2 linked regions of the Caenorhabditis elegans genome follow. The protein of the gene in region 2 purifies or fractionates together with the protein of the main gene of each other region. This does not show direct contact. Each region holds a gene or a part of one and is shown on either strand. Other genes may lie near its edges.

What was found.
Region 1: the proteins of eif-2Bgamma (region 2) and eif-2Bbeta fractionate together in Caenorhabditis elegans (co-fractionation; one large-scale study listed by BioGRID). This does not show direct contact.

What each region holds. Positions count from the first base shown.
Region 1 is NC_003279.8:11,890,987-11,895,859, forward strand, and holds eif-2Bbeta (Translation initiation factor eIF2B subunit beta), read right to left. Parts: upstream 2,742-4,873; 5' UTR 2,735-2,741; coding exon 2,673-2,734; intron 2,628-2,672; coding exon 2,291-2,627; intron 2,080-2,290; coding exon 1,719-2,079; intron 990-1,718; coding exon 727-989; 3' UTR 590-726; downstream 1-589. Other genes in the region: Y47H9C.8 (NACHT_N domain-containing protein), read left to right, coding at 3,013-3,055, 3,113-3,193, 3,256-3,488, 3,555-3,821, 3,883-3,991, 4,617-4,692, 4,745-4,858.
Region 2 is NC_003280.10:6,965,037-6,969,337, forward strand, and holds eif-2Bgamma (Translation initiation factor eIF2B subunit gamma), read right to left. Parts: upstream 2,613-4,301; 5' UTR 2,607-2,612; coding exon 2,456-2,606; intron 2,405-2,455; coding exon 2,241-2,404; intron 2,189-2,240; coding exon 2,032-2,188; intron 1,982-2,031; coding exon 1,789-1,981; intron 1,742-1,788; coding exon 1,579-1,741; intron 1,530-1,578; coding exon 1,419-1,529; intron 1,377-1,418; coding exon 1,264-1,376; intron 1,096-1,263; coding exon 992-1,095; intron 922-991; coding exon 863-921; 3' UTR 764-862; downstream 1-763. Other genes in the region: tra-2 (Sex-determining transformer protein 2), read right to left, coding at 21-117, 168-280, 455-637; C15F1.5 (RING-type domain-containing protein), read right to left, coding at 2,946-3,002, 3,052-3,150, 3,195-3,311, 3,671-3,724, 4,158-4,301. UniProt on the Caenorhabditis elegans protein: Acts as a component of the translation initiation factor 2B (eIF2B) complex, which catalyzes the exchange of GDP for GTP on the eukaryotic initiation factor 2 (eIF2) complex gamma subunit.

The sequences.
Region 1 (4,873 bases), on a different chromosome or scaffold from region 2:
CTTTCTCAACTGCAGCTAGACCACTCGATACTGTCTTATTCTTCTTCTTCTTTCCACTTCAAAATTCTCCAAGTTTATTGTTCTTATTTTTTATTCCCAATTTCAAAAGGATCCGAAGTTTTGATAGATTTTCAATTTATTTTGAACACAAAACCCTGAATTCACGTGGTATCAGGTTGCCCCATCGCTCCACTGCACGCGAAATAGCGGGAAAATATTTTTGAAAACTTGTGACGTCACACCGCATTTCGATTAATTGTTTATAAATTTAAGCGTCGATTTCTGTGACTTTTTTTCATAATTTTTCAAAAATTGTATTTTGTTGTATTTTGCTTCAATTTCTCCACTTAACTTGCTAATTTTTCCGAATTTCGGTGAAATATCAATTTTATAAATTATAAGAAAAAAATTTAATGAAAATCGACTCTTAAATTGCAAACAAAAAATTAATCGAAATGCGCTGTGACGTCACAAATTTTCAAAAAATCGTTTCCCGCCTTTTGTGTGCAGTGGAGCGATGGGACAGCCTGACACCACGTGTGGATTCTCCCACTCTAAGAATCTGTAAATTTGAGGAAAGTCACATCCAAATTATAAAATAATTTACTGAAAATTGAGAGGCGCAAAACAAACAAAAAGAAACAATAATTTGACGAAAAAAGACCCAGAAAAAATGGAGAAAAACGGGGGGTACAAGTTATGAGGCTAGAAGAAAACGATATAAAATTAATAATCAGCAATATCCTGTGAATGATAATAATCTTCCTTGAGACGATTCACATGAGACGGAATAACGCATGAAGTATTCGAGACAAAAAGGGTAACCAAATCAGATTGAAGACAATCAAATGCCGGATGAAGACAGTCTACAAGGCCTGCTGATTTGGCTGATAGATCGAATGGAAGGGAATTCGAGCGGAATGTGTGCAGGGAATCCGGATTTGTCATGAAGAATGGACACAGTTTGTAGAATGGAGCGAGCACGTAGACTGAAAAAATTGGAAAATTATTATTTTCCATTTTTTTCGTTCATAATACTCAAAATAGTCTCAAAGTTAGGAAAAAAAAAGAAAATCGAAAAAAATAAGTGATTTTTCAATTTTTGTTGAATTCCTTCCAAAATGAGAATGCTTTTTTTTTAATGGCCAGAATATGCACAGAAAATTTAAAATTTCTAAAACTCGATTTTTTTAGAAATTTAAATTGTTTTAAAAAAATTTTAAAATTTAAATTTTAAAATTTTTTTTAATTTAAAATTTTCTTTAATTTTTTTGAAATTGTTTATTTTATTTTAGAAATTTAAATTTTTTCTTTGAACTTTTTTTTTTAATTTTTTGAAATTTAAAATTTAAATTTTTTCTTTAAATTTTATTTTTTTCTAGAAATTTAAATTTTCTTTAATTTTTTAAAATTTAAATTTAAATTTAAATTTTATTTTTTATTTTTTAATTTAAATTTAATTTTTGTTGAAAAATGCCACTAATAGTTTCGAAAAAATTATAAAATTTAAGTTGAAAATTGATTTCTAGCTGATTTTCTCGAAAAATTCGCTTTATTAAATTTTTTCCGTTGATTTTTTTTTTCGGAAAAAAGGTAATTTTAAGCACTTTTTGAATAGAAAAGTCTTCAGAAAACGATTTTAAATTTTTTTTAGAAAAAAAAACTGATTTTTAACCGATTTTTTAGTCCTTTTTTAGAAAAACGGGCATTTTAAGCACCTGGAACACAATGCCTCTTGGCAAGAAGTGCAATTTGATGTCCACCAGCAGGTACAAGACATGATCCATCAGGGAAATAAGCAGCAGCGACTAGAACAACTTTCGAGGCTTCAGGCATCTTCGAGGCGACTTCATAGAGCTCAATTGCAGTTGCAAAGTCAGGAGTTGATTCAATATGTTCTTCTTCATCAACTACATCAATTACACGATGTTTTCGGCCTGATTTGACGGCATGTGATAGGAAATTGTGCATTGTTTGAGATGAACGAAGTGAATGAACTAGTACAACATCATTATTGAATAAAAGTTCCGTTGATTGAGATGCAATACATTCACGAGATGATTCGATTTCCGTTACTAGCTGAAAATGAAAAAATTGCATTAAAAATGTGTAGTTTTTGAATAAAAATTATAATTTTCCCTTTTTTTTGATATTAATATCATCGAAATCTACATTTTTTATGAGAAAAATTAGTTGAAAATTCTAAATTTTAAAAAAAAAAATCGATTTTTTTGAGCAGAAATTTTCATTTTTTAGCGACTTTTTTCTGGTTTCCAGTTCCCAGCATTACCTCCTTAATGGAAGCCTGAAGATCTTTTTTAATCTTCTTCATATCAGCTGTTTTCAGCTTTTTAATCGTCTCATCGTCATCTCTCCACAGCGTATACAGTGGCTCCGGCTCTCCGCCGCCTTTCTTCTGAAGAACTTCGTCTCGAGCCAATTTCGTGATCATTAAGCCGATATTAATAATAATGAGCTCCGATCGCTCGGCTCCGTGAAGCTTTTTGCAGTGATTTGCCAACGAAACTTGCAAATCGTTCATTGTCTTTGGATTTTCGCGGAAAATGATTTTTCTGATCAAATTCACTGTCGCAATTGCTATGGAGGAAGAGGAATCACGTGGAAATCTGGAAAATGAAGGAATAATTGAGTTTTTTCATCAGAAAACTCACTTTTTTCGTAAAGCAAAAATAAATGCTCGCTTCAGGTCTTCAATTTCATTGTCCGAGCTCATTTTGAATCTGTACGGGTTTAAATTTTATTTCTAATGTTTAAAATAAAAGAAATAAATTGAAAAAAAAGCAAGTTTTAACTTTAAAAATACACTTTTTGCCAAAAAAATGCAAAAATGTGTTGAAATTATCCTAATGCAAACGCGCTCCACGACTAACTTTCTCCAGTGTACTTCTCTCGAATCAATTTTTGTACTCCTCGTGGACATTCTTTATTTTAAATTTTTATCCATTTCTCTGTAGATTTTACAGTAATTCTTCCAAGATTTTTTTGTGAACAATGAATAGAAAACGCTCAAAAGAAGACGTGGGTGGGTTTAATGGTTAGTAAAACTTGTGAAAGCTTCGAAAAATCGATAAAATACCAGAAAATGCTTCAGATCTCCCAGCAAAGCGTCCTGGAACCAGTCAAAACTCGATACGTGCGGCACTTGAAGAGAAATTAGAAAGATCTCCGATAGGTGATTCAATTTTTAAATTTTTACTTGAGAAAGTAGAAAAATAATAATTTTTTTCATTTCAGAAGACCTAGAATTACAACTGGAACAGCCTGAAATTAATGTGGAAGAGGTCGGAAGAATCATTGCCGATGGAATAATTGAAAAAACACTGGATGACGAAAAACTGAAGGAGCTAACACTAAAATTCGCAAAAAATGTGCCAACTATGGCGAATATTAGCATTTGGAATCTGTCCGAAGAGCTGAGCACTGGAACAATTGATAGTAGACTTGTAGTCATTGGAAATGCATTTCTGGTACGAAATTCCAAGAAATTATCTGAATTTTCACCTAAAAAACAAAAAAAACTGGTTTTTTTTCAGTGGAATTTGCTCAAAACTTCAATGTCAAGCATTCGCGAGAAATTTGAAAATTATAAATTCAAAATTCACACAATGAGTGCCACGTCATCATCTCTACAGTCCATAGACTTCTCATCTTCACGTATCCGAGCCGGCGAGCATTGTATCCAGGAAACTGAGATTTTCCGGAAAATGGATCTTTTAGAAATCTATAATTCTGTGGTTTTTCGAAAAAGTGGAGATTTGAACGGGAAAAGCAAGCAGATTATCAAGAATTACTTTGCTGTGGTTGGAAAAATCAAAAATGCATTAAAAAAAAAAAAATGTTTAAAAAGTCGATTTTTTCCAGGCATGCCAGCCAAAATGCGCAATTTGGCACTACAGCCTCAGACAAAGCGGTACTTCGCACAAAAAATGGCTTCAGGACATTCCACCGCATGTTGTGCACACTTTGCTCCGTAAGAGCTCAGAAAAAAGCTCAAAAACCTCGAATTTCATTGGGAAAAACGCTCAAAAAATTCGAAAAAACGTCTAAATTTAGCGAAAATCTCAGATTCTGATTTTTTAAGAAGGCTAAGGCTTAGGCTAGACTTAGACTTTAGGCTCAGGCTTATCCCTAGGCTTAGGCTTAGGCTTTCGGCTTCTTCTTCTTCTTCTTTCTTAAAGAGAGGAAAAAAATCCCAGAAACTTCAATAATTCAGAAAAAAGAAAAAATACGGCGAAAAATGAGACAAGCCGGACAAAAAAAACAATTATGAATTTTTCTGAATTTTGTTAATTTTTGTAGTACATTACCACTTTTTTACTTAAAAAGTGCCAAAAATGTGCAAAATTTAGCTGAAATTAGGCATTTTTTGTAATTTTTCCGTCAAAAAATGTCCAAAAATCACCAATTTTGCTCTTTTTCAGGTCCATGTTTCGTATTTTTTTCAACTTTCAACCGGAAAAGTGCAAGAAATCAGTTTTCAATCGCTGAAACAATGAAAAATTGCAGATTTTAGCTGGAATTTGGCGAAATTTTAAGATTTTTGAGCTATTTTCTCCTTCTTTAAATCCAAAATCCACTAAAAATCTATTTTCCAGATTTCCTGATCTGCCTGGCCGGACTTGGAGCCCCGGAGCTCGACCAAACTTTCGAAGAAGCTACCGATTCTAGCGAGTAAGCCTGAAACCTGAAACCAGTTAAAAATTAATTGTCAATTTTTTTCCAGCTACGTGGAGTCTCTTGGCGACACAAATGGAGCCCGTGAGGTGGCATTTGAGACTCTAAAGTCGACCCGTGAACAACTTTGCTCGAAATTCCGACAATGTGTGACTGATGCTTTGTAGGACCCCCGATT
Region 2 (4,301 bases):
TTTCTAAAAGTCAAGAAAACCTGGATATAATGTGGATATTCGTTTTGATCGGATGAAGAGGATTGTTGGAATATTGTAATATGTGGTTTAAAGCAGACATCATTGAGTGTGTATGTTCTAAAATATGTTGGACGTTTTATGGAAGAGTACGAATGAAATAAACTCACTTTTGGCGAAATTTAATTTTCAAATTTGAAATGTTGTTCAGTAAGTATCCATGTTGAGTGAAATGTAACGTTGATCGCATATCTACTCCATTCTCCTGGGTTTGAGCGATTTTCTAGAAAATTTATATTTATATAGTTTGAAAATTTAAAAACATTTGTTTGTTCACAAAATCATGTCATACTTAGCTTAAAGTTAAAAATATTTAGACCTTGTCATCTAATTCAAATAGCCATTTTAAAATTTTAAAAACTTTCAGTATCTGAATTCCAAATTGAAAAGGTTATACCTCGATAATGTATTCTTCATTGTTCGTACGAGTTTCGAAGAATCCCTGGCTGACAAACGATGGAAATATTGATTTTTCTTGATAATCAATTGATTTTCCAAAACATTCCGCTAAGAGCAACCCGAATGTTACAAAGGTGACAATCACCACCGAAACGAGAAGTTTATTGTATTTCAATTTCATTGTTCCATTATTATCTGTTAGTAAAATAATATCGTAAATAAAAATATTACTCAAAATAATTTGTAGGGTTAGAGAACCTATCATTGGAGTGAAAGATAGAGGAAAACGAAAATTTCAAAAAAACTTAATCTTCAATAAATTTATCAGAAAACAAAAATAAAACAACCGCGTAAAAAAAAGAGAAAACACAAAAAGGCTCCAATTATTCCTAAAATTCCAAGATTGTTAATCATCGGTCCATTCTTCGTCTTCTCCATCTTCTACTACCTCGTTTTGAACTTTGCCTGAAAATCGTTGATTTATAAAGAAACACGAGAAATTAAAAAAAAAACAACACTAATGAAAACAACTAACCTTTAGCAGGTACCTTCTGATCCTTAGCAACAATGCAATTGGTGACGTCAGCATTCTCTCCGATTTCTACTCCATCACAAATAATAGAGTTGCTTATGGAGGCACTGGAATGGAAAAGTATAAATTCAAGTTTTAATTCAAGAAATCAGTAATTGTGATAACAGAAGAATTCTTAAATCGAAAGTTTTCATATGTTTGTCTATTTATTAAGAAAATATCTTTTCCGAAAGCTCATCCGAAACTTCTCGCGCTACGAAAATCCCAAAACTAACCCATTTCCAATGACAACGCCTTTGGCAATGATACTCTCTTTTAGCTTTGTTTTTTCACCAATCCGACAATTATCCGAGATGAAAGACCGTTTGATAACTGAATCCTTGTCAATCTGAATGGAAATGTTCCCTAACTATTTTTGAACAAGTATTACCTCTGCGCTTTCTTCGATCCGACTCTCGTGGGCAGCAATTTTATCAGTTTTGTAGTTGAAATTCTTCCCATTTCCGCGATATTCCATCAATCGAGTAAAAGATTTTTGAATCTAAAAAAACAATTTAAAGGCTATATGATAATGCATTATTAGCACTTACAGCTTTATTCACTTCGAAATAAGAGCCAAGAGTATTCGCATGTGCAGTTACAAATCCATTTTCATGAGGAAGACGATATGCAAAGCATTTGATATCAGAATCCGGTTCAAATTGTTTATCAATCAGAAGAGGCACAAAATCGGCTTTGAATGATGAAATGTGTCTAGAAATTATACATTTAGAGTAAAACACATTCAAAGAAACACTTACTTTGATTTTGACAGATTAAGAAGAACTTTATGACGTATAGCATAAACATGACAATCATTGTACTTTGAAGTTAATTTGATCGATGGGAATATTTTCAAACTTTTCTCCATAACCAATGGAGCATCAAAATCATCATCTCCGCAAAGGAATGCAAGTTGACCTGTCGATTCTACTATTGCCATTACATCGGTGGCTGTAAATTAATATTTTGATAAATTAGAGGAAGGTTGAAATAAATAATACCTTTAGGTTTTTTCGATTTTGATCCCGGAGCCGGAGCATTGACACACGTATCTGCAATAAGAGCGACAAGCGTGGAATTTGTAGCTCGGAAGAAATCAACAAGTGGAATGAGACTGGCATCGCTGATAAAATCACAGGAAACAATCAATGCATCTTTCTGTAAAAATTAGAATTATTAAGGTAACTTCTTTTTCAGCTGATTGACTTACCGTAATTTTAGAATGATGATTCTTCAATAGATCCGCGGTTCCAAAATCCTCTTGATTGACACAAATATATTCAATATGTGCTGGATACTTTTCTAATAGCTTCGACTTTTTTACTTCTTTTTCGAGAGTTAGTTGAAGAACTTCACGAACAAATATCTTGATATCTTAAAAGTTTAATTACTCAATCATATTTAACGATAAAAAATCAATGTTACCAGTAATTCCTGTTCTTAGAAGCGAGGAAAGTGGATAAAGGAACATTGGCACTCCGACAACAGGCAGTAGGCATTTTTGAACATGGCGTGTAAGGACAGGCATGCGTGTGCCACCTCCAGAACACAAAAGTATCCCTTGCATTTCGTGCATTTTTATCTGAAATTGTTATTTGAACGAAAAAAATATGTTTAAAATGTTAGGAAAAAAAAGAGAAAGCTTGCAACTCTGCTGGAATTGTTTTTTTGTTTAAAAAATAACTGTTGTATATTTACGGGCTAAACAACACGCGCATGCGTTATTACGGAGTGTCGTTAGCCAGATTTGTTGTATACTGTCGTTAGCAAGATTTGTTGTATATTATAAATTCTGCAGAATTCTGGAGGAAAGAAACGATAAGATGTGTATTTAGATCGGAAAGGAATTTATTTGAAGAAATATTGTTTATTAGAATGACAAATCGTAATTGAGTATCAATTAATTGAGCTCATTCTATTGTTTCTTTGGTCTCGACACGATTCCCGTGGTATCGACAAGTACAGTAGTGTTCTGTAAATATTAAAATGAAGAATGAAGTCAAGGGTGTTTTAAAATGAACCTCGTTGATGTTCAAAGAAGAACAAGAAGATCGGATTGTATCTTTTGTCACATCGAGTTTCGACTTCTTATTGTCATCAATGCGATAGTATCCGTAGATCTAAAAAATATAACTGGACGCTTGGAATCAGTGGGTCAACGTACTTTGTCGGTGGGTAGAATTTTCAGAACACGACGAGTTTCCCTGACCAGGTCTCCGAGCGTTCCTTCCCTAACGAACTCCATTGGCATTCCTCCATCGTCGTCATCACACTGGCCAATCTAAAATTTCCTTCCCTATTTTCAGATTCACTAAACTTTAATATTTTTCAGGGCCGCGCGCACGCAGCCCCGATACGCAAAAATTAAGCTGTTGGCGAATCTCAACTCGAGACTGCCACACAGGTCAGCCCGCCCAAAAGTGCAATGGGTAGGCCTCACCATGGGGATCCCGTCTTCATGATCACGAGATACCCCCAGCCAGGTAAGTTTATGAGCTATAGTGAAGGGGGGCCTATGCTTATTTGTGTTCGGACATCTCGCGGGTTTCGCAGCTGCCCATCTTTCTCGTGCAAGTAGGCGGGGTTGTGGCAGAGAACGAGACGACCACCCTAGTAAATACGAGAAATATATTTACTTGCCTTGAGTGAAAACTTTTGACCATTCATTGTGTTTAGATCTCCATGGATTATGTTCTGAAAAATTGTAACTTTGTCTAAATTAATTCCCCTATAACCACGATGCGAGATTTTTGCGCTAAAGTATAGTACCCGGTCTTGACACGACAAGTTTCTGTGGATACTGTAATTTCAAACTTCTGTTTTTGCGGAGTTTTTAATTGATTTATTGATTCCATAGTTTTCTCTCACTATTCGTTAAAATTTATGTGTTTTAATTAATATCATATTTGTTTTTTAAAATAACATTAATACCGTTATCAAAAAACTATGACAAAGACGTCTTTAAAGACCGGTAAGAAAAATAATTCGAAAGTTTAAGACTACAGTACTCTTCAAAAACGCACGGCTTTTTCCATTAACGGAAAAGCCATTCTACAAAATTCATCGTGCCAAGACCGTGCACCGTATGTTTGGCGCAAAATTTCTCGTCCAGCTCCAGTACACCTACCGTTACAATGTCATCCTTCAAAGTTTGCATCGAAAATTTTGCCTGAAGAGTGAACTTGGAGAAAAACGCCTTCTTCTCTGGAAACTGAGCATCCAACGCCAAAACGCTTTCACATCGATACGGAATTGCACATGTTTTAACAGG